Linked DNA regions of Neodiprion lecontei. The protein of the gene in region 1 interacts with the protein of each later gene in a biochemical or structural test. Links are inferred from orthologs where the notes say so. Each region holds a gene or a part of one and is shown in the gene's direction. Other genes may lie near its edges. The genes, in order: cullin-3-A, kelch-like protein diablo and peflin.

What was found.
Region 2: the proteins of cullin-3-A (region 1) and kelch-like protein diablo form a complex in vitro, tested with the Homo sapiens proteins (2 studies listed by BioGRID and IntAct). The link is inferred for Neodiprion lecontei from reciprocal best matches to the Homo sapiens genes CUL3 and KLHL20.
Region 3: the proteins of cullin-3-A (region 1) and peflin form a complex in vitro, tested with the Homo sapiens proteins (2 studies listed by BioGRID). The link is inferred for Neodiprion lecontei from reciprocal best matches to the Homo sapiens genes CUL3 and PEF1.

The regions. Positions count from the first base shown.
Region 1 is NC_060264.1:23,154,090-23,166,386, forward strand, and holds cullin-3-A, read left to right. Parts: upstream 1-4,589; 5' UTR 4,590-4,604; coding exon 4,605-4,730; intron 4,731-4,805; coding exon 4,806-5,189; intron 5,190-5,264; coding exon 5,265-5,468; intron 5,469-5,551; coding exon 5,552-5,731; intron 5,732-5,844; coding exon 5,845-6,219; intron 6,220-6,288; coding exon 6,289-6,459; intron 6,460-7,228; coding exon 7,229-7,336; intron 7,337-7,456; coding exon 7,457-7,634; intron 7,635-7,713; coding exon 7,714-7,940; intron 7,941-8,018; coding exon 8,019-8,188; intron 8,189-8,256; coding exon 8,257-8,395; intron 8,396-8,480; coding exon 8,481-8,605; intron 8,606-8,702; coding exon 8,703-8,727; 3' UTR 8,728-8,763; exon of another isoform or gene 8,764-9,391; 3' UTR 9,392-9,885; downstream 9,886-12,297. Other genes in the region: isocitrate dehydrogenase [NADP] cytoplasmic, read left to right, coding at 475-1,689. UniProt on the Homo sapiens protein: Core component of multiple cullin-RING-based BCR (BTB-CUL3-RBX1) E3 ubiquitin-protein ligase complexes which mediate the ubiquitination and subsequent proteasomal degradation of target proteins.
Region 2 is NC_060261.1:28,447,760-28,457,134, forward strand, and holds the start of kelch-like protein diablo, read left to right. Parts: upstream 1-4,617; 5' UTR 4,618-5,007; intron 5,008-9,375. Other genes in the region: exportin-2, read right to left, coding at 1-184, 275-464, 536-699, 775-904, 1,014-1,181, 1,335-1,427, 1,556-1,663, 1,889-2,227 and 2 more. UniProt on the Homo sapiens protein: Substrate-specific adapter of a BCR (BTB-CUL3-RBX1) E3 ubiquitin-protein ligase complex involved in interferon response and anterograde Golgi to endosome transport.
Region 3 is NC_060263.1:22,831,127-22,841,251, reverse strand, and holds peflin, read left to right. Parts: upstream 1-3,824; 5' UTR 3,825-3,956; coding exon 3,957-3,968; intron 3,969-5,057; coding exon 5,058-5,235; intron 5,236-5,694; coding exon 5,695-5,973; intron 5,974-6,111; coding exon 6,112-6,203; 3' UTR 6,204-7,082; downstream 7,083-10,125. Other genes in the region: uncharacterized protein LOC124294011, read right to left, coding at 281-384; centaurin-gamma-1A, read right to left, coding at 9,949-10,125. UniProt on the Homo sapiens protein: Calcium-binding protein that acts as an adapter that bridges unrelated proteins or stabilizes weak protein-protein complexes in response to calcium.

The DNA.
Region 1 (12,297 bases):
AGGCACTTCAAATCACGAGACACTTGCGATTCACCTTTCGGGGAACTTTATTGTTCGCAGCGTTCGTGTTCCGAAGTATTCCGTATTTATTGCATGATTAGAACCCCGTTCCAAACCACCTTGGATGATAGTGCACATTATGGTGCACAGTGCAGAGGTCGATCCCCTCTCCTCCCCCCCACATTTAGTCGACCCATCGTTTGCCGTGGAATGTCGATGGTTTCACTTAAATAGAAAACAAGCTCGAGGTCGAGTGAAAGCTAATAAGTTTCGAATGATAAGGTTCCTACTACAATGTGGATATCACAGCGATCATTATCTCACGCGATATAAGCCGTAATAATCAATTGATTGATAGTTTGATTATTTCTCGGAATTTCCGTTCATGATTAGATTGTACAATGAAATTGTTGTAAATAAGATGTTCAGCAGTTTCTTATGAAAATACTTAAAGAAACAGCATTTTTCCAACAGGCTGGACCCGTCGTTGACATTCTTGGAGATGAGATGACTCGTATCATCTGGGACTCTATCAAGAACAAATTGATACTCCCGTTCCTGGATATTGAGTTGCACATTTATGATCTGGGTATGGAGAACCGGGACGCAACTAATGACCAGGTGACGGTGGACTGCGCGGAGGCTGTAAAGAAATATAACGTGGGCATAAAGTGTGCGACGATAACTCCGGACGAAAATCGAGTCAAGGAGTTCAAGTTGAAACAGATGTGGAAGAGCCCCAACGGCACTATCAGGAATATACTGGGCGGCACTGTCTTCAGGGAAGCTATAATCTGCAAGAATATTCCGCGGCTGGTGACTGGTTGGAATCAACCCATTATTATCGGCCGTCACGCCCATGCTGACCAGTACAAGGCCACAGACTTTGTGGTACCAGGTGCCGGTAAACTGGAAATCACCTGGACAGGTGAGTCAGGCGACAAAATCCAGCACACTGTCTACCAGTTCAAGGGGGCTGGCATCGCTCAGGCCCAGTTCAACACCGACGAGAGCATCCGTGACTTTGCCCACAGCTCTTTCCAGTATGCTTTGGCTCGGACCTACCCGCTCTATCTTTCGACCAAGAACACCATCCTGAAAAAATATGATGGCAGATTTAAGGACATTTTCCAGGAGATTTACGAGGCTGAGTACCGTTCCAAGTTCGAAGCAAAGAATATCTGGTACGAGCATCGGCTCATTGACGACATGGTTGCCTACGCTATGAAATCCGAGGGTGGCTTTGTCTGGGCTTGCAAGAACTACGACGGAGACGTTCAGTCAGATTCCGTTGCTCAAGGTTATGGCTCTCTAGGCCTGATGACCTCTGTGCTTCTCTGCCCTGATGGCAAGACGGTCGAGGCTGAGGCTGCGCATGGAACAGTCACTCGGCATTACCGCCAATATCAACTGGGTAAAGAGACATCGACCAATCCGATTGCCTCGATCTTTGCTTGGACAAGGGGCCTACTACACCGTGCTAAGCTGGACAACAACAACCAGTTGAAGAAATTCGCAGAGACTCTGGAGAAAGTTTGCATTGATACGATCGAGGCTGGAAGTATGACTAAAGATTTGGCAATCTGCATCAAGGGCATGAACAATGTCAAAAGGTCAGACTATCTTGAGACGTTCGAGTTTATGGACAAGCTCGCTGACAATTTAAAGAAGGAACTGGCCAAGGCGTGACTGCAAACATACATGTTCCCAGATATCCGGAGGTCGAAGCTTTGAGCCCAGGAAAGGGCTGCTGCTTCATTTATTCCAGAATCTATTGCCAATTTTTTCAGTTTAAACCTTCGAGGGGTGTTTATTGGATGAGGAAAATAGTTTTTTTTTTTTTTTTTTTTAGACAATACATGCGTTAATAGCACAACACTCAAGTATTCTTAAGTATGAAAATGCCATTGTTATTACAGGAACCTTTAGCCTGTGAAATATTTTTGTAAACCTATAAGTCAAATGAACGATTTTCGTCTGGTTTTCAATGTATAAACAAAAGGTTTTATAAATATGTTTTACAATGATTTTACCATTTGATTGCCTCATTTACAGGAACTGTGAAAACCTGCATGTGCGAATATTGTTGGATTATCTATAGTCTCGTATTCCTTCGAAATAGCTGTGGACTGATATGAAACCTTGCTCTACAGCTACACTGTATTCAAATTATATAACTTCAAGACTTCCTGAGTAGCCATGGTCAAAGATCAAGTTGGATACTTGAATTGCGTATACTTTACGTAACTCCACAACTTGAATGTTGGCATAAAACGCAATTCTTTTCCACCTATATCTAAATTATCGGTAACCGGTTACTTGCTAGTTCATTGTAATGAAAGATTGATTTCAACAAATTGGTGATCGATGAGTGAGCCTTAAATGCGCCGAAAATACAGCGTTCGTTTGAGCACTGAAAAAAATTATGAAGCATTTACTTCCGAACTATCGGCTTTGGACGAATAGTTTCGAAGGGCTAATAGAAAGTCATTGTATTACAAGACCAGTGTAGTGCATCATGATAATTCCTAGGAAATTGCGTCACCGAGAGCGAGAGGTATTGCAGTATCAAAAACCCTCCTAGCCATCTAACTATCCGAACAGAAGGCTTCTAGACAGCTGTATTGGAATTTTCTCACCATGGATGCTATAGAGCTGTAGTATCGGCAGTCAGTGATGAAATGCAGCTTTATCGTTTAATGGAATTGGATAATTCATCCAGTGCGATATACCGCGGTATACATCTATGCTTGGTAAACGCGTATTTTATTATAGTTTTAGGTTACGTTACGTTCAAAAAAACCTCTTTGCCATCTAACTATCGGAACAAAGGGCTCCTAGTCAGCTGTACGGGAACTTCTTTACCATGGGGGTTGGAGGCATGTAGTTCCGGTAGTCGGTAATGAAATGCAGCCTAATTATTCAACGGAATAGGATTATTCGCCAAGTGCGATATTTTGTGTATACAATTATGCGTGGTAATCGCGTATTTTGTTACAGTTTTATGTTACGTTCCATTACATCGTGATAAAAATGTGTATTTATAGTACCGCGTGAATCGAACGCAGCCCACAGCGCTCGATTAGTTATTCGCGCTCCGTGCTCGCTTCATCGCCTTCTCCTCCTCCTCCGGCAGCCCGTCGTCATCGTCGCGGAATAATTAGGAAAATAGATCGTCTGATACACACGGTTGAAATTCGGTATGCCTCGATCTGTGGGAATATGTGCGTCATTCCATTGAAGTGAGATTAATTAAGGCGGAGGTAAAAAGGAAAGAAAAGCACAAAGAGAACTAACGAGGAAGAGACGAGCTTGTTAAAGACCGACGACGTGAGGCAGACGCGTTTAAATAACCCTATAAAATAAATTCTGTGTTTTGGTGGCGCGACTCCATTTTATACCTACCACTACCCACCACACAGTCCCGCGATAACGGGTAATTTCAGATGCCTTGTTTTCCTGTAAATAACCGACATTGACTGGTCGCTCGGTCCCCGTTGTTTCTCACCGTCGAGCGAGCGTCGATATTATTCCTCGAACCCACCATTGCGAAATACACGTCGCCCCCGCGCCCGCCCCTGGCCTCGATGCGTGAATGACACCGTTAAAGCTTTGTAAATGTGCGTACGGAGATCGAGATTTTCGCTGACTCGATTTTATAGTGTTGGTAGTAATAATACCGAAGTGTCAAGCTGAACGAAGACCCTTGAGGAGATTTTTTACTACTGAAAATGATGAAGAGCGGTGCGACCCACAAGAGAGAAAAAATGCGGATACGCGCGTTTCCGGTAAGAAGATTTCTCACGTATCTTATTTCCCTCATCGACGAATATGCATGCCCATTTGATTAAAAGGAGGAAAAACTCGCTGCTCCTCGCCTCGCCTCGCCTCGCCTTTCGACTCGGGCAGTTTTCATATTGTCACGATCTCACGATCCTCGAGGCTCGACGCTCGGGTCCGTCGGATTTCACGCACTGTCATTTAAATGGAAATATGTCCACCCGTCATCCTCCCCACCTCCTCTTTCCCGACCCCTTTAACCTAGCTCACATCGACTAAAACCATATAACAATATAATATATTTGATCAGCTTTCACTTTCGGCCCCTTTGTATATTGTATCAAGATAGCCAAACCACAGCAGCCTACGAAAGGTGCACTGGTTTGGTGAACGAACCTAATGTGTTTTTTTCCCCATTCTCACCCCCCCCCCCCCCCCCCCCAAATTCAAGACAGTTGCCTTAGCAGTCATAAAGACAATGGAAAGGAGTATGCCTTTCACTTTTTTTTCCCTACAAATCCAAAAACGAAATTTTTCACCCCGACAAACGCTACTTTCGCCAAATTTTCAAGTCCAAAGTCTTACAAATCACTGAAACTATCAATAGGCTGATAGATTGCCTGTTCAAAGGACTAGGCCTGGATGTAGAAACTCCAATTTAGTGACAGCAGTAATCACGTCTTTGCTGATGCTATATTGACAAGTCAAGGTTAATTTTGAGCGTTCTTGATATGGCGACTATGCCGATCGACACATAAAACAATAGGTTAAAGAAAGTGATTGAGCGGTCACCACACAGAGAAGGATTGGATAAAAATCCAACCATGGAACGTGGTCAGTTAGAAAAACCAACTTCACAAATTATGTGTGGAGCACTCAGTGAAATAGCTACTATCTCAGGGCTGTTTCGATCAGGGAATCCGAGCTCCCTTGTGATCGTCGACACCCTTGTGAGGGACACTGCCTATTAGTTTGCCAAATCAGCGTTGATTTTTTATTCTCACACCTAGATGCTCTGTTTTTAGATGACCATGGACGAAAAATATGTGGAGAGTATTTGGGCACTGTTGAAGAACGCCATACAAGAAATACAAAAGAAAAACAACTCCGGCCTGAGTTTTGAGGAGCTGTACCGAAATGCATACACCATGGTCCTTCACAAGCATGGCGAGCGTTTGTACACCGGGTTGAAAGAAGTTGTTACGCAGCACCTGGAGTCGAAAGTTCGGGAAGACGTGCTACGCTCCCTTCACAACAATTTTCTCCAGACACTGAATCAGGCTTGGAACGATCATCAGACCTCTATGGTTATGATCAGGGATATACTAATGTACATGGATAGGGTTTATGTGCAACAGCATGATGTTGACAACGTCTACAACTTGGGCCTAATCATATTCAGGGATCAGGTAACACATCGATTGAAACCGTTGCTTTCGCTACATCTGTACAAATCCTTTTTGACGAATCGTTATTTATTTCAGGTAGTCAGGTACGGCTGCGTGAGGGATCATCTACGCGAGACACTCCTGGGCATGGTAGCGAGAGAGAGAAGGGGGGAGGTCGTTGATCGAATCGCGATAAAGAATGCATGTCAAATGCTAATGCTGCTCGGTATAAACTGTCGCCAAGTTTACGAAGAGGATTTCGAGAGGCCTTTCTTACAACAGAGCGCTGAATTTTACAGGGCAAGTTTTACTTTTATTTTCACAAAACCATATCAATTGTCCTATTAATTTTCAATCAATCGTGTTTAACGAATATTCAACAGATGGAGTCGCAAAAGTTCCTTGGCGAGAACAGCGCCTCAGTCTACATAAAGAAAGTTGAAGCTAGAATTCTTGAAGAGTCAGAACGGGCGAAGCACTATCTGGACGAATCCACAGAGCCAAGGATAGTCAAAGTGGTGGAAGAAGAGTTGATTAAAATACACATGAGAACCATCGTTGAGGTGAGGACAAAATTTAGCAGTAAACTTCATGTATATCAAATCTTTGTTACGTGTTACAGAATTGCTCTAAAGTCTTGTAAACTTTGAAATAATTCAAATGAATGCTGTTGCAGATGGAAAACAGTGGTGTGGTGCATATGTTGAAGAACCAGAAAACTGAAGACCTTGGTTGCATGTACAAATTATTCGCGAGAGTAACAGACGGATTGCGCACTGTATCAGATTGTGTGTCGCAATTCCTCAGAGAGCAAGGACGCGCCTTGGTCCAAGAAGAGCATGAGCCAACCACAAACGCAATACACTTTGTGCAAAATCTGCTGGACTTGAAAGATCGTTTCGACCATTTCCTGCACCACTCGTTTAACAATGATAAACTATTCAAGCAAATGATCGCGTCGGATTTTGAACACTTTCTGAATCTAAATTCAAAGAGCCCTGAGTATCTTTCTCTCTTTATCGATGACAAATTAAAAAAAGGTGTAAAGGGGGTAAGTTGAATGCGGCTTGGCATGAAGATCCTTTCGTGCAGGTTTTAACTGAAATGTTACTTTCTACAGATGACAGAGCAGGAGATCGAAGGCGTGCTTGACAAGACAATGGTTCTCTTCAGGTTCCTGCAAGAGAAGGATGTCTTTGAGCGATACTATAAACAGCATTTAGCCAAGCGGTTGCTTCTGAATAAGTCCGTCTCCGATGACAGTGAAAAGAATATGATCTCAAAGCTAAAGGTACATGATCCATAATTGCGTCTTACAAACGCGCTCGTAGATGCGCTGACACCTAGTTTCATTCGGCATACTTTGGCAAACTGAGGCTAGAGTAAATTGTCCCATTGGATAGTGTGAAAATTTTAAATGGCATAGTTCTGGCAGACACAGGGCGCGTTCAACGTGGACGTGGACATCTTGATCGCAATGAAAAAGCTGAACGCTGAGCCACCCAAAGATTCCCAGGAGTCGTTCTTCCTTCAAAGGTCGAAGGGCTAGTGCACAAAGAGAAACTAGACTAGAGTATGTCCGTCCACCCTGTGTCCCGATCCCATTGTAGGATCAAGTAAGTGTCCGCTTTGTAAACCATGCTGAAAACCATGCTTCGAGCTGAGCAACCAACCGTCAAACCTTCCAACAATTTAATCATCCTTCGGTTCAGGCTCGTATGCGAGTATTATTCGTCAAAGTATTGGATCAAATTCAGACACGGCGCGTGTCTCGGGCATGCTTTACGAAGCTCTGATTTTCTTAGCCGATTAAACACTATATTGCAATTGGTGTGATAGACAATTTGGCAGAGGGAGTGGCAAAGACACATGCCTTGGAGTTCTGCATGGTTTAATAAAGCTAGCACTTTACTTATAAAAGACGTACGAATGTAGAAACCTTTCGTCAACTACTGCAGGACTTCAGGGCAGGTCAAAACCTCGATTCAAAACAGTTACCGCAGACTCTGACACTGTATATACGTACCTATATAATAACTCATAACTGTGCAATTTTTTAGACTGAATGCGGTTGCCAGTTTACATCAAAGCTGGAAGGAATGTTCAAGGATATGACGGTCAGCAATACTATAATGGAAGAGTTCAAGGAACACGTATTAACGTCTGGCGTAAGTTACAAACGTGTTGAAAAAAATCCTTCATTCTCACATCAAATCTGAAATGATCAAACTGACGTGGAACTGCTCAGGCATAATTATTTCTGGATAATTGTTTATCAAATTTCACAGACAAGTCTACACGGCGTTGATCTGAGCGTGAGGGTTCTGACAACAGGATTTTGGCCAACACAGTCAGCAACACCGAATTGCAGTGTGCCCTCAGCGCCAAGAGAAGCGTTTGATGCTTTTCGATGTTTCTACTTGGCCAAGCATAGCGGTCGTCAACTGACGTTACAACCACAATTGGGTAATTACTAGTCATCTTTGTTGAATCGAGTTCAAGCAGAATTGGCAAATTAATGGTTCATTGTTGACCGTGTGCACAGGTTCGGCTGACCTTAATGCGGTTTTCCATGGGCCTCGGAAGGAAGACAGTAATGGCGGAAGCGTGGACGTTCCCTCGTCCTCTACCACATTGGGCAACGGAAGTGGCAGTCTTTTAAGTCAGCGGGGAAGCAGCAGTGGAAATCCCCGCAAACATATTATCCAAGTATCGACGTACCAGATGTGCGTACTCATGCTCTTCAACAACAGAGATCGACTCACTTACGAGGTTTGTTACATTCCCATGATTTTAGTTGGTAAAAAGATAAATGATCTCTACTGATGCCAGCGTTTATTAATATCGCAGGAAATTCAGAATGAAACTGACATCCCTGAGCGAGATTTAGTCCGAGCATTACAATCTCTGGCAATGGGGAAGGCGACTCAGCGAGTTCTCCTCAAGCATCCCAAAACTAAAGAAATTGAGCCAACACACTGCTTCAGTGTCAATGATAGTTTCACCAGTAAGCTTCATCGGTAAGTTTTGAGATTGACATTATATCTTTGATCGTTTCTGCCTTATATCGGGTCTGTCCAACTTCTAGAGTAAAAATCCAGACGGTTGCGGCGAAAGGAGAGTCCGAGCCTGAGAGAAGAGAGACGAGGAACAAGGTTGACGAAGATCGAAAGCATGAAATAGAAGCGGCGATCGTGCGAATTATGAAGGCACGCAAACGCATGACAGTACGTATTCGTCTGTCGATCGCTTCATAAAATGTATGAATCTCGATCGTATTCGTTATCTCATACTTTGTTTCAATCTAATTAGCACAACATTCTCGTGACGGAAGTCACGGAGCAGCTTCGAGTACGATTCCTGCCCTCACCTGTCATCATCAAGAAACGCATCGAAGGGCTGATAGAACGTGATTATCTGGCCCGCACGGAAGACAGGTGAATAACACAGTTCTTTTTGTTTTTACCGTTCTTATATTTCCCACATGACTCAAACAAAACTTCGGTTCATCCCTACATTCACTATTTGTTACAGGAAAGTCTACACTTACGTGGCTTGAACACTGCCCCAAGCATCCCCAAGTTTGTACAATTGCGTAAGTGGCCACCCCAACATATTAGGCACGGTATTCACAATCTCGTATTAGTATCAAGCCTGCGCGTATTTAATTATTCGGATATTTCCTCGGCAATCGTTGTTATTATATTATCCTTCCCCCTTATCATAGAGATTTAAAAAGAATAAACGAAATTTTTTACATTCGATACCGAGTTGTTTCAAATATATATACTATGTACACATACGGCCGTCGGCAAGGGTAACTGCGTAGAGAACGCACGACGTGTACTTCATGAACCAAACTGGGTATTTCTGGGGAATTGTTATGCCCCAAAGAAGTTCTATAATTGCTCATCGTTGTCACATGACTGTCAACTAGTCTCGTATCAACTAATCGAACACAACTGCTTTGTGCAATACAAATTTCCTCTGCACATTCCAAGTCTTTTAAAATTAATTTGTGTTCAAAGTCTGCACGAATACTTTCTCCGTACTCTTCGTTTTATTTGTTTTGATTCGGTTTTGCTATTTTCTTTTGTTTTGTCACATGTGACAGTGATGAGTGGTTAACGGTAACGGACGTTTGTAGAGTGTAACATAAGATCTATAATAATGAAATCAAAACATTAAGATATACTTCATTTATTTATTTTTATTTTTTCCAGAATCTATCGACTCTGATATTAAGAACTCTGAGTCGAAATAAAATGAATTGATCGTATAAAATCTGTAACTAATTTGAGAAAGAAAAAACTCGCCAACGGTAAACAATATAGATTTAATTATTATAAAGAATTTAAATTATTCCAGATGCATTAATGAATTATACTTGCGTACATTTTACGTGTTATACTTCCGCCCTACCCTTGTCCCGTTTCATGTCCACTTCCTCTCTGAATAATTCCTTGTAGAATTTGGCTCTTGCAAAAACTATAAAATAATATACACAGGTATATTGTCGTGGGTAAAACAGCGACTGCCTATACCTAATTTGTTACGAACGCGACTGTAGAAATTGAGTGCGAATGTGCGTATATAATATATGCGAAAAGTTTTTTTTTGACTGGGTGTATAAGTAAGGTGTGTCTGAGTATGTATCTTCAAACTATTGTATATGATAATGAAAAAAACGTTGTATCAATAAATGGATTTAAATACAGTCAATTTTACCTATAAACATTATAATGGGTGAACCCTGATTTGGGACAAGAAATTCATACATTTTATCAGATTCACGTATGACGACAGAACAGAAAAAATACAAGAAATATGAATGCTCTCGTATTACGTTTCTATCACAAAAAATCGAACCTGTGCTTCAAAAAATGGTACAGTCAGAATCAAGTTTTCAGGTTCGTCGCGGTACAAATGCTGATCATTACGTGTACAATTAAAAATTCCTCTCAAGCAAGACCGGATTCTGCGCGCAGGGGGAATTGTGACAGATCGTGCGCGGCGTCGGCAGCGATCGGCGCGTTGTTAGTTTGCCGCCGGTGTTGGTGGCGCCAGGACTTCCAGGGATTGGACCTCCGTCGCGAGCTTGTCAGTACATGTAATAATTCACCGAACGTGGACGAGGCGTTCGTTTCATCTGTGTGCGAAAAATAATGTGCCGCTACCAGTCCGTGTTTCGACTTCTTTGAAGAGCGGTGAACAACGAGGGCTGGATGATTTCGCACCCCTGCACATTAGTGAGTACCATTGCATCCCTCTCCACTACACAGCCACCATTCGATTTACGAAAATTCATTGCCAATTCCTCTGACAAGGTCAAAAGAAGTCACGTGCAGGCATGCATTCGCGTCCCGTACGTTCCGGGAATACGTAATCGCGCCGCTGCGTAAGATAGAAAACCGCGATATCCCCACTAGGAAAAAGGCAGCGCACGCGGTTTCCTCGATATAGCGACCCTCATCCATTCGTCCAGCGGCAATTGATTCCTCTGTAGCATCATAGCGCGGTATTATACCACGATTTCCCATTTCGACGGAAGCAGTGATTCGTACTCGCGTATTCTTCCCGGTGTATTGTATCACGGCGTCGTTTCCACAGCCCCCGGGAACACGGAGGTGAGAAGAGACGTTCGTTCTGAAATACTTCCTCCTCGCCGGGGATATAAATAAGTTCGTTAATGGCCTAGGATTGCCAGTTCTTCCGGGGTGTGGTACACGAAACGCCATACAACTGTCCCTGAGCCGACGCATTCATCATGTACGTATAATGCTATATGTTCGGCCTTAGCTTCGGAATGAGCAGTTTTGTCGGAGTGTCGGGTGTTTCGCAAATTGCACGACCTGCACACACACGTTCGCTGTTGTTATTTGCGGCGAATTGGGCAACGCACCGACGAACTGCGGATCCCTCGAATCGGGTCCCCCATCGATTATTCTTACTCTCGTAGCAGTTTAGCGATTCGTCACATTATGTTGAGTTACATTTTTTTGCACAATTCACAGGGCCGGCGGTATGTGGCAATGGTATTCGTGTTGCATGCGTACCTACAGTCACATTGTGTCCGCCGCGTTTAATCATCCGATATGACATTTAAACTGTTGGCACAATCGCAAGTTCGCCCCGTGCACTATTTTCGTATAAATAGTACCGCGCAAAATAAATACACAGCTTGCAGGGGGGTACAATTGAAGAATATTAGCCATCGTGTTACGTACTAATTGCGAGTATTTTTTTTCGATTCTTCCGCCCTCTTCGAGATGAATTACGTATTGTTAATTCAAGAATATGAAGAAGTTAAATTGTCTCGTTAACGAGGCAGTAAAATCTTTTTGTTCGCTGGATTGTTTTTCGGAATAAGATGCATACCAAATGAGCTCATCACAAAGAAAACATATCACGCTGATAATTATTATGCAAGTTTGTAATCAACAATGCGGATATCTGCAGGGAGTTGAGATTTTCTTGGTGGACTGTTTGTTCGGAAAGTTACGGAAATTTATCATAACTACAAGGCAGTATCGTGGATATGAGAAACATAAATTGGGTTTCATTTTCGTCGTCGAAACTGTGCCCAAGACTATAAATTATACAATTAGTAAATGCAAAGAAATAGATTAGTAGGCGATCGTGTCGTATAGCTGTGCAAACAGTCACTCGACACCTGATCCAAACTCACGTAAGTCTCCTTCACGCAAGTGGATTAAACTTACTGATCCTTCTTCCTCAATAAAACGCTAGACTGGCTGATCTTGAGTCATGCGATAAGACGATAAGACGTCTAGTGCGTTGGATACAGACAAAATAAAAAAATCTCCCGACGTATTCACGTGCGTACGTAATACAATTTCGTAACTGATAATCTTCGTAAGTGAGTGTCGGATCCAGCGTATCTCAAACACAGATGCACGAACTCACACGCTCCTAATCCCCAAGGCTAAACCCGTTCAAACCAGCATGAAATTAAAAACGAACTGTACGCATGTTAAGCATGCCTTTACATGTCGCACGTGCACGTACGCGTGCATACAAACATACATACCATATCTGCCTACTGCCAGGAAAAGCATTTTTAGCGCTAAACTGTGCGTAAAATATGTGTACAACCACGATGAGTATC
Region 2 (9,375 bases), on another chromosome or scaffold:
AGTCCCTTCAAAGTAAGTATTTTCTCAATAGCACAAGCTGCGTAACTGTGAACAACGGAACTGGAAGCGCCGAGATGTCTGACTAAATGAGGCAGACTACCGATGACCAATTCCTTGGGTAACACGGACCTGAAGATCATTATGAATTTGATTGCGTCTGCTTTCAGAACCGGAACTTCGTTAACTGAAACAAAAAGATTCAAATTAAGACATGTATCGTACTTTTAGCTGCAATCCAAGGCGTCTGAATAAAAAATATATCCAGTTTACACACCATTCAGTTTTGCTAGTTCTGGCTCAATATGTTGAGCCGCAAACTGAGGCAGCGATACCAAATCACTACTCTGGGTTACTCCATGCTTTTGGGTTTGACCCTTGCTAGCACTACTCGTGACCAAGTACAGAGCCGCATCCTTGCTACGCCAATTTTCTGTTGGTTTTTCAGCATAATTTTGCAGCATTAACTGAAATGCCAGATCAAGTTTAATTAATTAGTCACATGATAACGGTTGCTGTTTATTTAAGATTATTTTACCTGGATGTAGGATCCGAAAATCTCCATAATTTTTGCCTCAAAATATTTTGATAAAACTTTCACGAGGTCGCAGGCAGCGCGTCGCCTCGTGTCAACGTCACTGCCCTCAATATCACGTCTTATGTATTCTTCTGGATTATCCTCAAATAATTCATGGTCGGATTCTGCAAATACATGAAGGAAAAATTTACGACGAGCACTTTTTATCATTACTTTTCTTTGACCACTGAATAACAAACCTCTAAACTCCATGTTTGGTATGATCACTTTTTCACATATACTTCCTAAAGTTGTCGGATTCTCAAACAAATACCTGTACTGTGCTCGATCGGCGACTGTGGCCAAAAATTGCAGAGCGTTAGATACCAGCTGCGAAAATGAGAAATTGCAATGTCTCGTTCATTTCTTTCAAAATTATGCTTAGTATACGTAGCATAGAAATCATAATTCAATAAACAAAAAAATAAAAATTCTTTACCGAATCGAATTTTGGTTGTTGTCCAGTCGACGTAAGGAGATTCCAAATTGCGGTAACAAATTGGGGCAAGAACGGCTGGAATTCTTCGTCGTATTTCTGGGCATATAGACCGACATTGTCGCACACCTGAGATTTCAACTGTTCAATTACTCCAGCCTCCTCGTCATCCTGTCAGTAAAACAAAAATGTTTTCCAAACGTTACAAATCGAAAATTATTATTATTATTATTATTATTGTTGTTGTTGTTGTTATTATGACAACAGAGTAAAGGAATTGTCCCAAGGATTAGTGCCACACATTATACAGCAAAGGTTAATTACCGCTGTTTTCAACGCTGGAACATCTACAGTAAGCAGAATGTGGAAGTTGGTCATCCAAGCATTCATGTTGTCCTCAAAGTATTCAGGCAAGTCCTAGGCAAAGTAGAAAGTATCTTTTGTACCGAAATACATACATTTGATTGAATTCACTTCAAGTAATTACTAATACATGACCATTCATTAATTTACCTATTTAGGCACATTGTTAACTCGTTACTTACCTGAAAATTCAAGGAATAAAATACTTTGCACAGAATGACCAGGGAGTTGTATATAATTTTCAAGGCTTCAATGTTGTTTGCATGTACTTGAGCAAGATTCATGGTTGCCTATCAAGAATAAAGTGGATATTAGTAAGAGTTTTAACTATTCAATTAATTCAGGTACATGAACTTTCTGATTCTCTTAATTCATCCAATGTGATTTTGCAACGAATTCATTAATATTACATATGTAAGGAGCAAATTTTTACTTTATCGGTATACTTTTTTCTAGCTGAATATAAGAAAGCAGCCTATCACTATTACACAGAATAATGGAAACAAGGTCCTTACCAAAAAAAGATCGGTCAAGGGTTTGGCGAATTGGTCGAGTACTAATTTGATCTCAGTCCAAAGGCTCTGGCTCTTGAATTCGTATCTATATCTCTTGAATAGAGAGTGAGCGGTGTGAAGAACACCGTTTATAACATGGAAGTCACCGGTATTAAACTTTTCAACCATCTGATCTATGAGCTCTGGCCATTTCTCAGGGAAATCGTGTCTACCAATGATGGAAACAGCATCCGATAACTGTTTCTGGATTGACTCTGGCGAGTGAAGCATCAAGTTCATTATCAATCGCTTCACAGCTAGGCGATCTTGCATATGTATGCGATCTCCGGTATCTTCATCCTTTATTGATTGTAGAGGAAAAAAAGACAATCATACAATTTAAAATTAATGACACTTTTTTCATCGTTAAATTGCAAGAAAACGCCCTATTTTTATCCAAAAGGTTACAGTTATTCTTTAGCAACAAGAAGTGACAACCTCCTTTCAAAATACAAAAATTCACATTGGGGTACACAATCATGGACTACAAATTTAGTATCGCATAACAATCATGATTAAACTTTCAGTTTTGATTTACAAGGTTTAGATAGACAAGGATATAAATCTTTGCAGATGATAAAAAAAAAATTTAATGATTCTCAATATTCCAAGAAAGTAAAAACCCTAAAACATTTGTAGAACTTTACTAGATACACGTTACTTTATTACTTTTGCACCGTATTGACTTCAGGTTCAAAATAAATATTTGCAATCGCAAGTCACTGCAGTTTCAGTTTGAGTTTAAAAAAATGCAGATCATTCAAGTAACTTAGAAACGAACCAAAGAGTGGGATTTTCAAAAAAGCATTTCACTTTTAAAGTATGCTAGACACTATTCGACTCCAACTCAAATTCAAATTTTTCATTGTCTCGGAATATATCATATGACACAATTTTGACAAGAGAGATATCTTCACTCAAACCTAAAATATCGAGCCTAATTAAAATCAATTGCTATCGAAGTTGAATAACAGTATATTTTCATCGATAGTGTTGGAAAGACCCAGAAATTTCTTGATATTTTTAAAAAATAAAAAGCTACTGGCTTTCAAGAAGCAAAGTGAATGCCAAAAATGTAAATTCATGTCAGTATCGAGACTTTTAAGAGCCTGTTATCAAAGATTTCTGATTCAAAGAGGAACGCCAACCTGAGATAAACTGAGTAACTCCATTGCATAGCATGACCTGTAAACATTATTAGTTATGTATCAGTTTCAGAAACCTCTACAACTGGATAACGGAAGAGAAAAATATAGGGTTTGAAGGGAGCAAACTGGAATGAGATGTGTTTTAATGTCTCGCCAGTATTCACAAAGCAAACGACTGCGATAAAATGTTAGATACACGTACGATTTTCCAGTTCCGTTTGATATAATTTTTAAATGTGACAGCGCCGGTGATCCTGATGACCAGATCAACTTCAGCCTTGTCGATCAGATGAAGCAGTAGCAAGGGATAATTTTGGTTCACTTCGACCGATTCCAGAAATTTTTCAGCTGCGTAAGAAAGAAAATAAAAGTCGTGTAAATAAATAAATTCGGAAGAACGAAGGAAGGAAAATGTGAATTACTCTGACTAAACGTACTTCAACTGGTAGAATTTGAGAACACGTTATATTTGATTTAGTGAGGTTATGCTCACCGGGTCGCCTGACGTTGACGTCAGGGTCGAGTGTTTCCTTGAGATACACACTTAGCGTTAAAAGGTTTTCTTCGGTTAGCTCCATTCTGTAGTATTGTTTTATTACAAATATGGGTAAACTTGCGAACGGAAGAGTACAGCGGGTTTCGAAGACAATTAACACAACATAACCCACCGGCTTCTTTCTACTCTTCCATTATTCGTCTAACTTCAAATTCCGTAATCTAACGTAACGTTTTCCCCTCTTAGCGTCACCGCTCAGAAGCAAGGCGTACTATTCGGAAAACTAAGGTCACCTCGGGTTTTTAATAAAAAACCCTATATCGACGCGGAGCAGCACCTTACCGACTAAAGAGAATTACCGACAGTGGCTTGGATTACCCTATGAGCATGGTGGAAGAATTACATGAGTTTTAAATCGATCCTGCCTGCCATAAGTAATTGCGATTAATTGTTTTTCTTCGTACTTAACTTCGTACATGACACTTTATTCTGATTTCAAGTAAACCGGCAACGCGGTGACGTGCAGTTGGTCGCGCGATGGTTGTTTGTTTTTGGACCTTAATTGTGTCTATATCTGATGAAAAATTATCATTCTATAACGGAGAAGAATTTCTTGAATTTTCTCTCAATAATAATAAAATGATCGTAAGTAAATTGTTAAAGATAACTTTGAATGTGTGCATTGTTGTTGCGATAATTAATTGCGATTAATCGTTTCTCTTTGGCAGATGACATCTTATTCTGATTTTGATAGGACCGCCGACGCGGCGACGTGAAGTTGGCCGCGCGACAGTTATTTGTTTTCGCATCTTGATTGTTTCTATCTCCGATCGAAAACTGCCGTTCTAAATCAGAGAAGAATTAGTCGAATCTTCTCTTAATAATAATAAAATAATAATAGATGTATTGTAAAGGTCACTTTAGATGTTGTGAAGTCGAGTGTGTGTGTTTGTATCTTTGTTATTGTGTACGATGTGTGTGTGTCACCTTATGTTTATGGTTTGGATGACCTGAGAAACCGAACGCGTGAAAAGCGAATTAGTGATCAGTACGGGCATGAACGTCTAGCGAAAAGTACGAGCTTGAACGTTTAACGACAAAGCGGAGCAATAATTAACATATTCAGGCCGAGTGATAATTAAGATGTTACAGATTTTGAGCATATTGTTTTGTGTTTATTTCGTTAATATAATTCATATTGCTCGGGTAAACTTCTTTCGTGTCTAACAATCTTGCATAAATAAGCGGAACAATAATTGACAGATTAATTTTATTGCTGAGTTTATTTTTAATATAATGCATTTCTTTTCGTGTTGTTCCAATAAAATTTCTTTCATATATAACAATATAGTGGACAATAATTCTGAAGTCATGACGTGCAGAAGCTGCTAGAAACATAAGTGACATGTGCTGTTGGTTGTTACTATGGGTGTCAGGTGAGTTTATATTCCTTTATATATTTAATGAAAAATTATGATCTATGATGAATCTCTATTTAATGATGATGAAATTTTATTAAGATTACATGACGATGGAAAAGTTATTATTCATTATGAAAGCAGATGACTCTTAGTGAGATGATGATCGGGACAACGGTGAAAAGATAATTGATGGATACGTGATAGTTGAATTGTTCGATTTCAAAGTGCGGTAATTTGATAGTTTGATTAGACAGTGTTACTAGAAATAGTAGTATGGTATTTACACCATTACATCTCTCAAAAGTATGCGTTACAATAAATAAACACCTAGCGAATGGTGATTTGATACTGTTCCTTACTTTTTTCTTCTTTGCGGCGACGTTTGAAGTTTTTGGCATTTTTGTAAAATGAAATGTAAATTGATAAATACGTGTGCCACTATTCATTTATTCATATGTTGGGCTGGCCCTTTAGCAAAAGAGTACACGTCTAACAGTACAATTATACACTGAGAAAAATTTCATTTGTTACAGTAACTATAAAAATTATATGAATATTGTTGGAATTACGAAAAACGAAATACGCGTAACCATTTTGCGCTATTGTAGATCCTTTTTTGGTAATAATTGCAACGCAAAATCAGTTTGTGAGGTTTACTCTACTTTTTTAGTTAAACAAGGCTTTAACGTCAATTTATCGTTGCACAAGCATTAAATTTTCGCATCAGTTGCAAGAAAATATGGTAACAGTGATCGTAATGAGAAAGAATAGTAACGGATACCAGACTTTCCGGTAACAGCTAGAAAACTAATTTTCATTTTCTACCTAGAACTATATTTTTCTATTGTGGTAAAAAATGAAAATAGTTAAGAATTGAGCGGTAAACGGAACTAAAAATTTCACTCGGTGCATTTTCGAGCACCCCGACGTTAGGAACAAAGAATAACTTTACTTCGTAGGCGTAACACTGACTTTTCCACGTCGACACGCGTCGCCCTGCTTTACCGATGATGAGCGATAAAATTGGAAGGGTTAGAATTGGTATAACGGCAGGATAATTAAAAAGGCTTTCATTGAATAATTAAACACCCAGAGCGTCGTCGCTGCACGCGCGTAAAACACGTTCCAATCGCTCCACTCCCAGATCCTCTACGGGCTCCCCTAAATCTCCCGAGGGTTGAAAATGAAAAATGAAAAACGAAAGATCGCGCGTTGGATTGATCGCGTAATGCCGTATATACGACGACGCAATATCATAATAGCATAATAGCGTAATACATATTTTCCGACCACTCACACCAGCGTTAATGTATCATACGCACATACAGACCCATCTCAATGGACGCTGCTGCCGACTTGACGGCTGAAAATTAAAAATTGTTTGATCAGTCGGGTGACACTGCGAGCTGCTTCGTCCTACCAACGATAAAGATGTAATTGCTGAAGTGGACTGTCTCCGGGGGCATCATTACCGCGAGGAACTCGCCGGTTTAATGTTTCATAACGTACATGAGACGTTATCAACCACGCGGTGTCCGGGGCACTGACAAATGTTTATGTTAGATCAGAGGCCTTGGTAAGCCTCGACCTGGCTGTCTCTCCCTTACACTTTTACCACCCCCGTCTAACCGCTGACACGGAAAACAGAAAACTTTGTAGATGGATCTACATTTACGGCCACGTCTAGGTACAGCTATCGTGCCACTCAACGCGTCCCGAACGGCTCTCTTATTCATTAATAATTAGCATCAAACTCACCGTCACATTGTTACGAATAAACTTGAAGGTCTTCTTGGTTAGCGGTATATTCAATCATTCGTAATTTATACTTTTTTCAATTGTGTCGTACGAGTTTTTAACCACTCTTCAACTCACGGTGAAAGAACGACGAAACGCGGTTATCTATAAAACTAACTCCATCTTCGGGAGACTGAAAAAAAACTTGCTTCATCTTTTGACTTGCTAGAAAACCAATTCAAAATACAGAAATACGGTCAATTTTTCTACGAAAATGCGGTAAAATTTCAAGCAATCTTTTTATAGTATCGAAAAAATATAGTGTTCAAAATAATAGTGTACAGGAAACTGAAAAGCCACAATTTGATTGAACTAATTTCATATTATTCACAGCGTATAACCGTTTGAAAAGTATTTTTTTAGTAAACACAAAGACGAAAATAAAATAGCGGCTGCGGGGCTGAGACATTTGAAAGATGTGCGCGGGTTTTTACCTTTGACAAAAGAAAAATATCTTTATTTGCTTTACACCAATCTATACACCATTAATTATTAATCCAGGAAGTCGGGTTATAATTAGCGTTGGCAGTTGTATAGGCGGAGTAGCTTTTTGATTCCGCGGAGTTCTGTAATGCGAGTTTCAACGCGATGCGATCTCACTCACAGCGCGCCGTGCCGGGGCAATTAATGTCAACGGAACGAGCCAAGACAGAGTAGAGGCACTTATTAAAAAGCTCATAGTCATTTTTCATCTGTCACGAAACGCCGCTTTTGTCCACTTGAAAGTCGAACGGCTGCAGCAGTCGTAGACTGACAATGAGGCGAAAACCTTTTAAATACGAAACAATTCATGTCTTTTACCCACACGCGCATTAACACAAAGAGACGTAGAGAAATTAGAGAAGTAGAAAAGGTGAAAAGAAAGAAAAGCCAAGCCTATGGGCTAATGTCAAGTAATTGACGGTTATTAGATGAAATATGTAAACTCTTGGACGCAATATTATTATACGCGATGAAATAATTGGCGATCGCCTATCAGACTTGGATAATTAACCTAATGATCCACGTTTTAGTTCACGGCATAGGCTGTCCTGTAAAATCGTTTCTCAGCAGCAGCAGCCTTCGGAGCTGATGAAAAAATGCTCAGGTACCGTTGACTAGTTTAGAAATAATTCCTACCCAATTCTCGAGTTCGGCAAATTAAACTGCGTACAACATTGGAACAAATTCGATAATTAGATCAATAAGAACAGAATGAGACGATCCGATGATGCCGAAGATCAAGGTGCACGAATTCCTTATTTTTTTATTTTAACCGCGTAGAAAAGCTCCACCCCTTAATCGGTGCTTGGTGCGAGAGTGACAGATCGGACAATTTCTCGGTTCACGGTAAAGTGGCAACAGCTATGCGCCCCTTTGATGGAGCGACGCGACTTCCCGATTCAGGAAAATTGATCGGTGCCTCCCGGTCCGGGTGGAGCAATCAGAAATGACCGATTTCCACTTCGCATGCAATTTAATCTCGCCTGTTCAGCTTTAAAAATAAGAATTATCGAAGAATTGTCTTGTCCCGTAGCGGAGTTTAAGTTTAATTATAAACTCATTGTCGGTGATGTGTTTTTTCAAAGTATTTGATTATTTTCGTATTCGATATCGTGAATAAGTGTCTGCAGGAGTTACAGTATTTATAGTTTTACTATATTTTGTACGATCCTTGTACGAATAAGAATTCTTCGTGATTGGGTATTTAGTTGAAAATCGATTTCACCGTCTGTCCTGCAATTGTCATAAACAAATGATTTGTAAAAGGTGTTTAGTTCTTTCAGAAAACGTTGTGCTACTTGCAGAAACATGGGAAAATATCGCTCGAGATACTTTACACAAGAATTCAGTGTCGGCATAAGTAATAATCACAAGTTTCTTCACTTAGAGAAATTTTCAGTTCCGGTTACCGCTCAGTCCTTGACCATTTTAATTTTTTACCACAATCGAAAAATATAGTTCTAGGTAGAAAATGAAAATTAGTTTTCTAGCCGGAAACTCTAGTATCCGTTACTATATTTTGTTGCAGCTGTTGCGAAAATTCAATGCTTGTGCAACAATAAATTAATGTTAAAGCCTTATTTAACTAAAAAAGTATAGTAAACCGAACAAACTGATTTTGCGTTGCAATTAGCAAAAAAGGATCGACGATAGCGCAAAATGGTTACGCGTATCTCGTTTTTCGTAATTCCAACAATATTCAAACAATTTTTTTAACGATACCTGTTTTACTGAATTTTCATAGTTACTGTAACAAATGAAATTTTTTCAGTGTTTTGGGAGATTACAAAAAAATGCTACACGGTAAATTTGCAGATAGATTTGATCTTTGAATGAAGGATGGTCAGAAATTAGCTTCAATGTTAAAAGTTTCAGAAATATTCAATACGTGGGCAATTCGGACAATGGCAAGAGGTGTTTTTCCTTTTGTGTTAAACGATTACAGGGTGGATAAAAAAGTATTTATTCATAAATAAATATAATGCGATTTCGCCCAATATAACTTTACCTTTCCGGAAACTAAAAACATCAATATAATGAACTAAAAAATCGTACAATATGAGAATCAAAATTAACGATGGATATCTTCAATTGTAGGGTTTT
Region 3 (10,125 bases), on another chromosome or scaffold:
GGGTTATACATGGAATAGTAATAAATATTTTCAGTATTAGAACACATCAAAAATATTATGTAACGAATAATATCATTTTTTTATGGACAGATTTTACCAAGAAGATTATGAGAAAATTAGAAAAAATTATAGAAATTTTAGTAGCACGATGATAGCTACTGAATTACGACTTGGGCGAAATATGAATTGAAATAATTTATTGTAAACATAACAAGTTCAAAAATTTTGGATAGAATAAAATCACAATTGCCATTGAATAGTAGAAAAATGTTATACTCACCGTGCAGAAATCCTTGTTCTCTTCGTCCACCTTGTTCTCCTCGTCTTCCTTGTCCTCCGAGAGTCGAGTTTCATCAGGTAGCGGACCTGGAGCGCTGGAACCATGGAGCGCTTTTCCTGAAATTCAAGCTTCACCAGGTAGCGGACCTGGAGCGTAGAAACTACGGAGCACTTGTCCCTGAAGTCGAGTTGCACCAGGTAGCTGGAATAAATTCTTTCATGCACTATTTCGATGTAATTTTGCGAGAGAAATCGATTGGGCGAAGTTCCAATAGGCCGCGATCAACAGATCAAAAGTTGCAGCCAATAAACGAGAACCTGTGTTTTCGACATTTTTCAGCAGGTGCTTTTTTCTTCGTATTTTCTCTCCTGTTGATCCGACGCTCTTTTTGGTGCGTTTTCTGCAATCATGGGGGTTCAATAAGCTCAGGAAAGAGTCATACAAATCGAATCTGAGACAATAGATTTTTTGACCAAAATCGTAAAAAAAAAGGAAGGCTCATCCCTTCGCACTTTTAGCGAAAATTTTCGCGATTCTGAAGTGCTGGAATAAATTATTTGGTACACTATACCGACGTAATTTTGCGAGCGGAATCGATTGGGCGTAGTCCCAATACGCTACGATGAACGGATCAAAAGTTACAGCTACAAAACAGAAGATTTCCATCGTACCTCTCCTGCTGTTGATCCCACGCTCTTTTTTATACATTTTCCTAGTTTCTGAGGGTCCAATTACTCAGGAAAGGGTCATACAAATAGAATCTGAGACGAAAAATTTTCAGCTCTGCACATGAAGGAAAAAATGAGGCTAATCTCTTTGCAGTTTGGACGAAAATTTTCGCGATTTTGAAAAGTACAGCAGCAGCGCGTTAAAAGTTAAGCTCTAAAAATGGAAACTTTCGTTTGTATCTCCTTAGCTTCTAGCTTAGGGTAGGGTAGGGTAGGGCGTAGGGTAGGATACGGTAGTGTAGGGTAGTGTAGGGTAGAGTAGGGCGTAGGGTAGGGTAGGGTAGGGTAGGGTAGGGTCGGGCGTAGGGTAGGGTAGGTTACGGTATGGTAGGGTAGGGTAAGGTTGGGTTGGGTTGGGTTGGGTTCCTTCCCCTACTCCAACTCCTACTACTCTTAATCCTCCTACTCCTACTAAAATGTTAAACTCACCGAGCACAAATCCTCGTCCTCTTTCTCGTCCACCGCCGACCACCTCCAACCACCGCCAACCATCTCCTACAACCACCGACAACCACTTCGGGTTGTACCTTGAATAGTAATAAATATTTCCAGTATAAGGACACATCAAAAATATTTTGTAAGGATTACTATAATTAATTAATCAATTAATAATATAATAAATTTTATCAGCGCATTTATAGCTACTGAAGTTGTGCTTGCGCGAAAAATGAATCGAAATCATTTATTACAAACATGACAAGTGTGAAAAATTTTAGATGAAATAAAAAATTTCAGATGAAATATAATTGCAATTGCCATTAAATATCATTAAAATATTAAACTCACCAAGCACAAATCCTCGTCCTCCTCGTAAACCTTGTTCTCCTCGTCTTCCGCGTCCTCCTCCTCGTCCACCTCCGACCACCAACAACCACCGCTAATCACCTCGGGTTGTACTTCGCATACTTATAAATGAGTGCTTGTCCCGGAAGTCAAGTATTATCAGGCAATGGATCCTGAACGCAGAAACCACGGAGCGCTTGTTGCTGAAGTCGAGTTTCACCAGGTAGCGGACTTGGAGCACAAAAACTACGGAGCTCTTGTCCTGGAAGTCAAGTTTCACCAGCTAGCGGACCTGGAGCACAGAAACTACGGAGTGCTTGTCCTGGGCGTCGAGTCGCACCAGGAAGCGGACCCGGAGCGCAGCATCCAGGAGTTAGAGAACCCGGTACTCGAAATTTGCGGAGCGTGATTCTCATACGTCCGCTCTACTGCGTGGTTGTTTCCAGACTGAGGAATTCGGCCAACTGATTTTCGTCTATACAGATCAAGAGAGAAAAAATTTTGGGTGACGTCACTTTCTGAACATCCGAACATCCAAAATTTGGTTTCGAACTTTAATACTATGTATGTATGATGTATGATGGTATGATGTATGATGATTTTAGTTTTCACATTTCAGACAAGAAATGCGCACCTTATATTTCCTGCCGGTTCCAGACTCAAGCGGCTAGGCCTTTCGATGGTCAGCCGTTGACTGAAGATATATTCTTCAGTTAATAGGTTAGCTAATAACGCTGCCGTTCTGCGACAGTTCGATGATAACAATTTTTGCTCACACCTTTCAAGTGTGTGATGAAGTAGACTCGTTTTCTCTCTCCCTATCAAAAAAAAAAAATCGTCCACAATCACCTTTTTAGCCTTTTAAAAATTAGTACTTGGTAAGTAAGACAATGGTAATAATTGATACTCTCATCAAATAAATTGATATTGTATTGCATTGTTCATAGGAGTAAAACTTATAAAATTTATTTATTACAAAAACCGATTGTTAAGAAAAATAATCTAGTCGGTCGATTAATAGAGTTTAAAAAATAATAGACTGTACTCGATTAATCAAGTTCGAAAAATAATCGACTGTTCTTGCTTAATCGGGCAAAAATAATCGAATTAATTGCAAATCGATTATTTTTGACCAATGCCCAGATTTTCAGATGGTCTGGATTTTTTATATGTTGTAGATCTTGGCATTATGAACAAGTCTCCATGAGTATGACCTTCCGCTATGAACAGTTTGGGAGCTAGAAAAATACTCATCCTATACCCAGTATTCCTTTGTGCAAGAAAATCGACCAAAAAATATTATTATTTCTTATTTATAAAATTTAGGCCCGTAACCGGACATGACTACTTGAAGTCTATGGACTCGTCCCCTTCTTCAACCACAATTGAAATCGGCCACCCGCCGTAGACTCTTTAATTTTGTTTTCTGCTCGGTGATAAGCACACGATCGGTAGTGCAAAGGGTTGCACATCCAATCCCGTGCGTCGTAAAATTCCTACGGATATCGAACATGTCAGAATGTATGTAAATCTTTGAACAGTAATGTTCATTAATGCCTCCCTTTTCTGGCTAACTTGTTTGCGGTCCGAAACAAAATGCGAATTTTATTTTATACGGATTGTGTAACAGTGACTGGCAATGCAGCTGACGCGAGAAAATCACTGACCTTTCGAGAAAGTGGTTGTATTGGTATACATACCTATACATAATTCGTATTAGAACTCGCATTTTGTTTCGGACCGAAAATAAGGTAGCCGAAAAGAGAAGGCATAAGTCCGTGGCATTTATAAACATTACTAAATACATGCATACCTGGGTAAAATATTCACCTACGATCACATAGAATTTATCTGCATAGTCGTAAATTTGTGTAATGAATGCGCGTATTGTGTCCATTGTTTTATATAGCCTAGGGACTCTATCTGGTCCTAGTGCTTGCCGCGTATGGCAGCAAAGAATGCATAACTGTGTGGTCTTGTCATTCATTCGTCGCGTCGAGTTCGCCTTTCTCTTCACCTCCATGAACTACTCGTGGTTTAGATGCCGTATTGCGTAATTTACGTCAGAGGAGTACTTCATCACTGATATATATATATACTCCTTTCCTGTTTTCATTCCGCAAGTAGCTGTGAGTGTACGCGATCGCGTTATATTTCAACCAATTATGGCTTATTCGGTAAGCTATTTTGTTTGTAAAAATAATAAAACTTCTGTTAGATTTACATTGACGTATTAAGTAATCACTTCACTTGAACACACTTATTGTTTTTCTTCACATTGTTCAGTGTTCATAGTTCATGATATTTTAGTTACAATTGTACGCTTCGTTACTCATAATTCATATCCGCTTGAGGTTGAGGTTGAACAATTTGACTTTTGTATTTTGGGTTAAATCAAGCTTTGGTGTGTTATCTTGGTGAACACTGATATACAGTATAATGCATTCATAATATTTATAATTTTAACTATGTACATATTTCATTTTGATCACGACAATGTTGCTGATATACTATAACATCATGGTGTTGAAGTTCCAATAATAAACAACGTACCTGTAGTTTGAATCGATCAAGCTTGATTGTAAGGAGTTCCGCTACTATACTGATAGTTTAGTGCCGCTTTAAGCCAAAGTTTTGCTATTTTTGATCACTAAATAGCTGACCAAGGTACTTATTTTGTAACCTCAAGGTGCGTATTTTGCAGTTTCTGGGTAGTCAACAACGCTAAAACAACAGTTTACGTTAGGCTGAATCAGACAGGCATGCTGCTTCACCATCGCTACAATCCATTAGTTTTAGCATTGTTTGCTGTGTTGGGACTGTAAAGTTACAGAATAAGTAACCACATTTTCTTCACCTCTTGGAAACTTATATTTGGAAAAAAACATCACGCAATATTGTTATATGAATCTTGTTGATGAAAATAGCCAAAGTTTTGTCCCATATTAAGTGGTTTTAGTTTTAATCTTGAGGCAAAGTATCTGTTTGTGATTGTATTTTAAATATGCAATTGAATTGAGGTATGAATATAAGTTCGACTTTCATTGTAACCTCACATTTGACAGTAAATTCAAACTTCGCATCTCAAATGTAAAGATTTTATGAAAGTTGGTAGGTTTGTAATTTTGTTGTCTGCCTCAACTGGGCAATTGATTCTTGTATTTTTTATATTTAGATTTCATTTCGATCATCAAATTTTGTTCATGGTTCTAAGCATTTCATCAGCCTCATACATATGACAATACTGACAAAGAAAACAATTAAAGCAGGGTGCTACTTTCGGTTCAACGCAAGGTCATATCCAGGTCAGTCCGGAGATTCAAAAATGGTTCGCAACACTTGATCGAGATCACAGTGGTCGGATAACAGCTACTGAATTAAAGAGTGCCTTAGCAAATGGACAAGGGAGCACTTTTTCTGACACAGCTTGCAAGCTGATGATTGGTATGTCCGTAAATATAATTATTTTCTCCTAATTACAGATACCAATAGATTTATATTGAAACCACGACCCTTCGAAACTCCTTTTTCTCAATACTTCCTACTTATGGGTACAATTATCGCTTGGTGAAAGATTAATTTCTTTCTAGAAAAAAAAAGAACTAATTCAATTGTGATAAGATTGGAAAAATAAATATTGGCTCAAGAGTTAGATAGGTCGTGATACGGCGTATTAAGGACATCCCACTCAGACAGTAAACCTGTAAAAAAGAATTACATATGAACAGAAACAATGATTCAATTTTACATAAAAAATTTACGAAAATATCACCAAATGTGAAGTTGAATATTTCATTAGCATAATCTTATCCGTGACAGAGCATGCGAAATTCAGTAACTGAAATTTACATTCTTATTTTAGACATTTACCTTGTTATTGATATTTTTATTTGATTTTGATAGGAATGTTCGACAAGGAAAAGAAGGGTACGATAGATATTCAAGAATTCCAAGCCTTATTTAACTATGTTAATGCATGGCTCGGTGTATTTCGAGGTTTCGACCATGACAACTCTGGAAGCATTCAGGAGAGTGAGCTATCAGCTGCTCTAACGCAGATGGGTTATAGATTTAGCCCTGAGTTTATAAAATTCCTTATACAGAAGAGTGATTTTAATCAACACCAATCCATCAGTATTGATCAGTTCATTGTTTTATGTGTACAAATTCAAAGGTTTACAGGTAACGTTTATCATTTCTGCATAAAATAAATTTTATTTGATTAATTGTAAGACAGACATTGTCAAAATATTTTATCCAGTATTCCTGATAAAAGCCATATTATAGTAAATCTTTTCATAATTTCTTATCATATTTCAGAGGCATTCAGGCAAAGAGATGCTCAACAGAGTGGCACAATATCGATCGCCTTTGAAGATTTCTTGAGCGTGGCTCTCAACTGCAGTGTTTGAGAATTTTTGAATCCAATACTAATTGCAAATAATATTTCTCATTGCATTTGCACATTAACCTGTATATTGTTCTACGTGACCAACACATTACCCGAATTCTATCTATTCGACAGATGAAAATTTTCCAAAACCAGGCAGTTTGCTGCGCTGGAAAAACAAGCTTATTCATTCAAAATAAATGTAAATAACACTTTGTTAACGATAAAACGTCGTAAGCTAATTTTTTGGCATTCCAAATGATTACAAAACGTGTTTGACTGCAACTATTTCAACTAACTTATCGAAATTTTCCAAGGTCGAGCGACCATTTCTGAGATTCAAGGATCACTAATCAGCTCTGACTTGAGAACTATGAAGTATGGTGTATGGCATCCAGTACAATGCTTCGCTTAGCTAAGTAGAAAGAAGAAGAAGAGAGCTTTGCGATATTCCACACGCAATTGTTTGATAATCAGTCAACAAACTCTTAGCATAGTCGGTATATATGTCTATATCTCCATGCTTGATCCTAGCTCTCCATATCTGATTAGGCTGGGAGGGACGGATCTACTGTGCGTATGCACGGACCGTGCTGAAAAGCGGATCAATTCCTTCAAATTGGCCATTCTGAATTGCATGTTTCTCAACTTCTAAGTCGTTGGCTTATTCGAATTAGCTATATTAATTATTTTTTGTAAGAAGATGAGAGAAAAATACTCTATAATTTCGTATTTCTAATATTAAGGATGTTATAAACAAAACTGGTATTATCCGCAATAGTAACTGTAGCGACTCATTCGTTTCCTGAGAACAATGATGCATAATCATAACATGTGACAGTGATATGTGATCGTCTATGTATTTGTTTATACCTATGAATAAATACATTTTCACAAAGAAGCTTAGTACTACCTTATTACATCTGAAATCTATTGGTCATATTAGTTTCATAATGTGTGCTCTCTGTGTTTGCTAGAATTTATATTGCAGGTATCTTCCCCCGAAATTTTCAGAAACTGTAACTGGTTTCTTTTTGTCATAGAAGAAAAACTTTGTTTTATGTTTGGGGTTTTCGTAGTATTAATTTCTGAACATGTAGAGTCTAGGAATAAAAATTCAGAAGTGATACTTAACTTCTACATTTAGGTAGGTACTGGCTCGCCTATCAATGCTAAACTGTACTTTCTATGTGAAAAAGACTTTTAGTCCGTAAAATTTATAATATATGGATCAATGAATGAACAATTGAGTGGATTCGTAATTGCGTTTTATCAGTGATAGTTCTGACGAGCAGTCGTCGAACTCACGGGTTGAATTAGACCTTGAACTAAACAGTATCGTCTTTTAGGCGTAATTACACATAGCATATTTGTTCGTATCTTTATGTCTTGTCACTTTAATTCTATTCGTCACCTTGTTGAGCTGCTACACACAGGTATTAAAACACTTGCGCTAGCATTAAGGCATATTTAATAAACTGTACTAGATTGGGTCTGAAACTGTGTCTATGACTATTCAATTTTTTTACTTACCTCTATGAAAATTTTGTGCATTTTCATGTGTTTCGGACGTAACTTTAACACTGGTTAATTGATACCGTCAAATCCTTTGTGGCTTCAATAAAAAATAATTCGCATCAAACAATATAATTTTTTCGCCACCCGCAAAGAAATATTTTGTTGAATTGATTATACCCCTTTGTACCCATAATTCTCATTATCTTGTACCACACTGGTATAAATCACTCGTTACCGCTGAACCCACCGGAGAATATTGTAGAAAATGATGACTCTGATTCGGTTTGTAGGATTCTGAATTAACCGCCGTTTCGCATACACAGTAAGTTGTAGGTTTGTAGAAATCGTTGGCGCAGAAGCCCGTCAGCAGCTTATTCACAGGTGATGATATTCTCTTTTTCTAAATGAGCTTAACTACCCGATGCAGTTTATGATGCACAAATCGGCAAGAAAACTCATTTCATAAATGCTACTTTATCTTTCAAATAAGCAAGTGCTATTTTCTTCATCACTTCTACTCGATCTACAATATCAGTCGTGATCGGCAAAGACTTACAGTTTATTTAATTAAAGTAATGAAAACGTTGGATGGCATAAAATACTATAGTCCTTCAAATAACTTTCGTGGTCCTTCATGCAATCAGAATTAGTCCATGACCAATCAGAGAGCGTGAGACTCAGTGGGTGTGAAAAAGCTGAAAGTAAAAAATACAAAATCGATGCTGGTAAGAATTTGCAACCGAGTAATTTTACTGGGATCATATGAAGCCAATCCCCACATTGTAATATGAAACCGGACTCATTTGGTCCTTATGTGATCTAATCATTACTAAAAATATCATATAAAAAACTTCCGTGATTTATATCTTTGTTTGTCGTAGATTTCATGTATTGAACTCAGTTAAAAATAAATACTACTGTACTGTTGCAACTTTTTACGAAATATAAAATATACGTTGTACCATCTGTGCACGTTATATATACCAAAGCAAAAGTGAGGGAGTCATGTTTAGTGACTAAATTATTTAAAATATGGAATATAGTATTTTTAATAAGTCAATATCAATCAACCAGCTTAATTGAAGTTTCTGATTTCAGGCGTCCCAAATCAAGTTTACCTCGTTATATTTACGACTATTCTACTCGGTACATTGCTTTATTTTCTCTCTTTTTCAAACTGCTAAAAAACAGACATGTCTTGCTCGTGCATTCTTCAAGCATCACGGGCAATCAATTCCACAGTGGGAACGGTCCGTAAATACTCCCGATTTGACCGTGGTTGTACTTAACGCCGTAACTTGACAATAATTCTGAAATAGTAGTATTAGCAACTACCAAGACTTGTACCATCAAATCAGTTAACCTTCAGGTGTAATGGGATTAATGGTTTTGATAGGAGCATTAAACGAGAAAAATTTCGTAGCTGAGGAATGTGCTAAACCTTGAAAATGGGCTATCATCATACAGTAATAGGCAGCAAGCATTTTTCATCAATTGATAATAACTTCCTAAACTTGTTCTCAATTACAACTAATTTAATTCGGATGTTTCGGAAAACGCTTGCACATATCCTTAAACGATTCAACTCTTGTAACGGTGCTCTTCCATCACAACCAATAATTCTGTTATCCTTATTCTTCGGCATACACGAATAGTTATTCGACAATGAACGAGACTTTCAAATCTCCATCGTGCTCTATTGAATTTTTTACAATTTATTTTTAAAAAGGAATCGTGCCCAAAGACACGAAAAATTGAATTTAACATAAAAAAATAGTTTTTTCCGCATTCACTGCTTTCTATCGAATGTGAAAAATTTATGATTAAAATTACGAGTCATAATTAGAAATAACATAATAATTTGTTTTTGGAATGAAATTGCCTAAAATTATTCAAAAATTGAAAATGTACGGAATTTAATCATTCGTATTTTACCTAAGAGCGAGACAAAAATTCCAAATAATTTACTAGTGCAATTTTAATCTCCGTCAGTACTATGTTATAAAAAAAAATCCAATATTGGAAATCGCGACGAATTGGAATTTATCGCATTGGCGTGGATTACCTCATTTATATCTACAAATATACTTTGTATATATATTTATATCTATTAATTAATTGTAGAATGTTACTAATTAATTTTTTTACTTATACACAAAACCCGTTAAAGTATTTTGTAGTGTACAATAAGTACATGATAACTGTGTCATAAAATGTGATAATCTTAATCGAGTGAGGTGTTAGAATGTTTAATACTGGACAGTTTCGGAATCATCAACACCGGAGATACTTGCTTGTTCTAAAACCTCCAGAAGTTTTTGCATTTCCATTGAATCGGAAGAATTGTCGATTGTCCTTTCGAGAGCTTGCACATAAGACATACAAGTTCGTCCTTCATGGTCTAAACTATGAGGATTTGCTTTTTG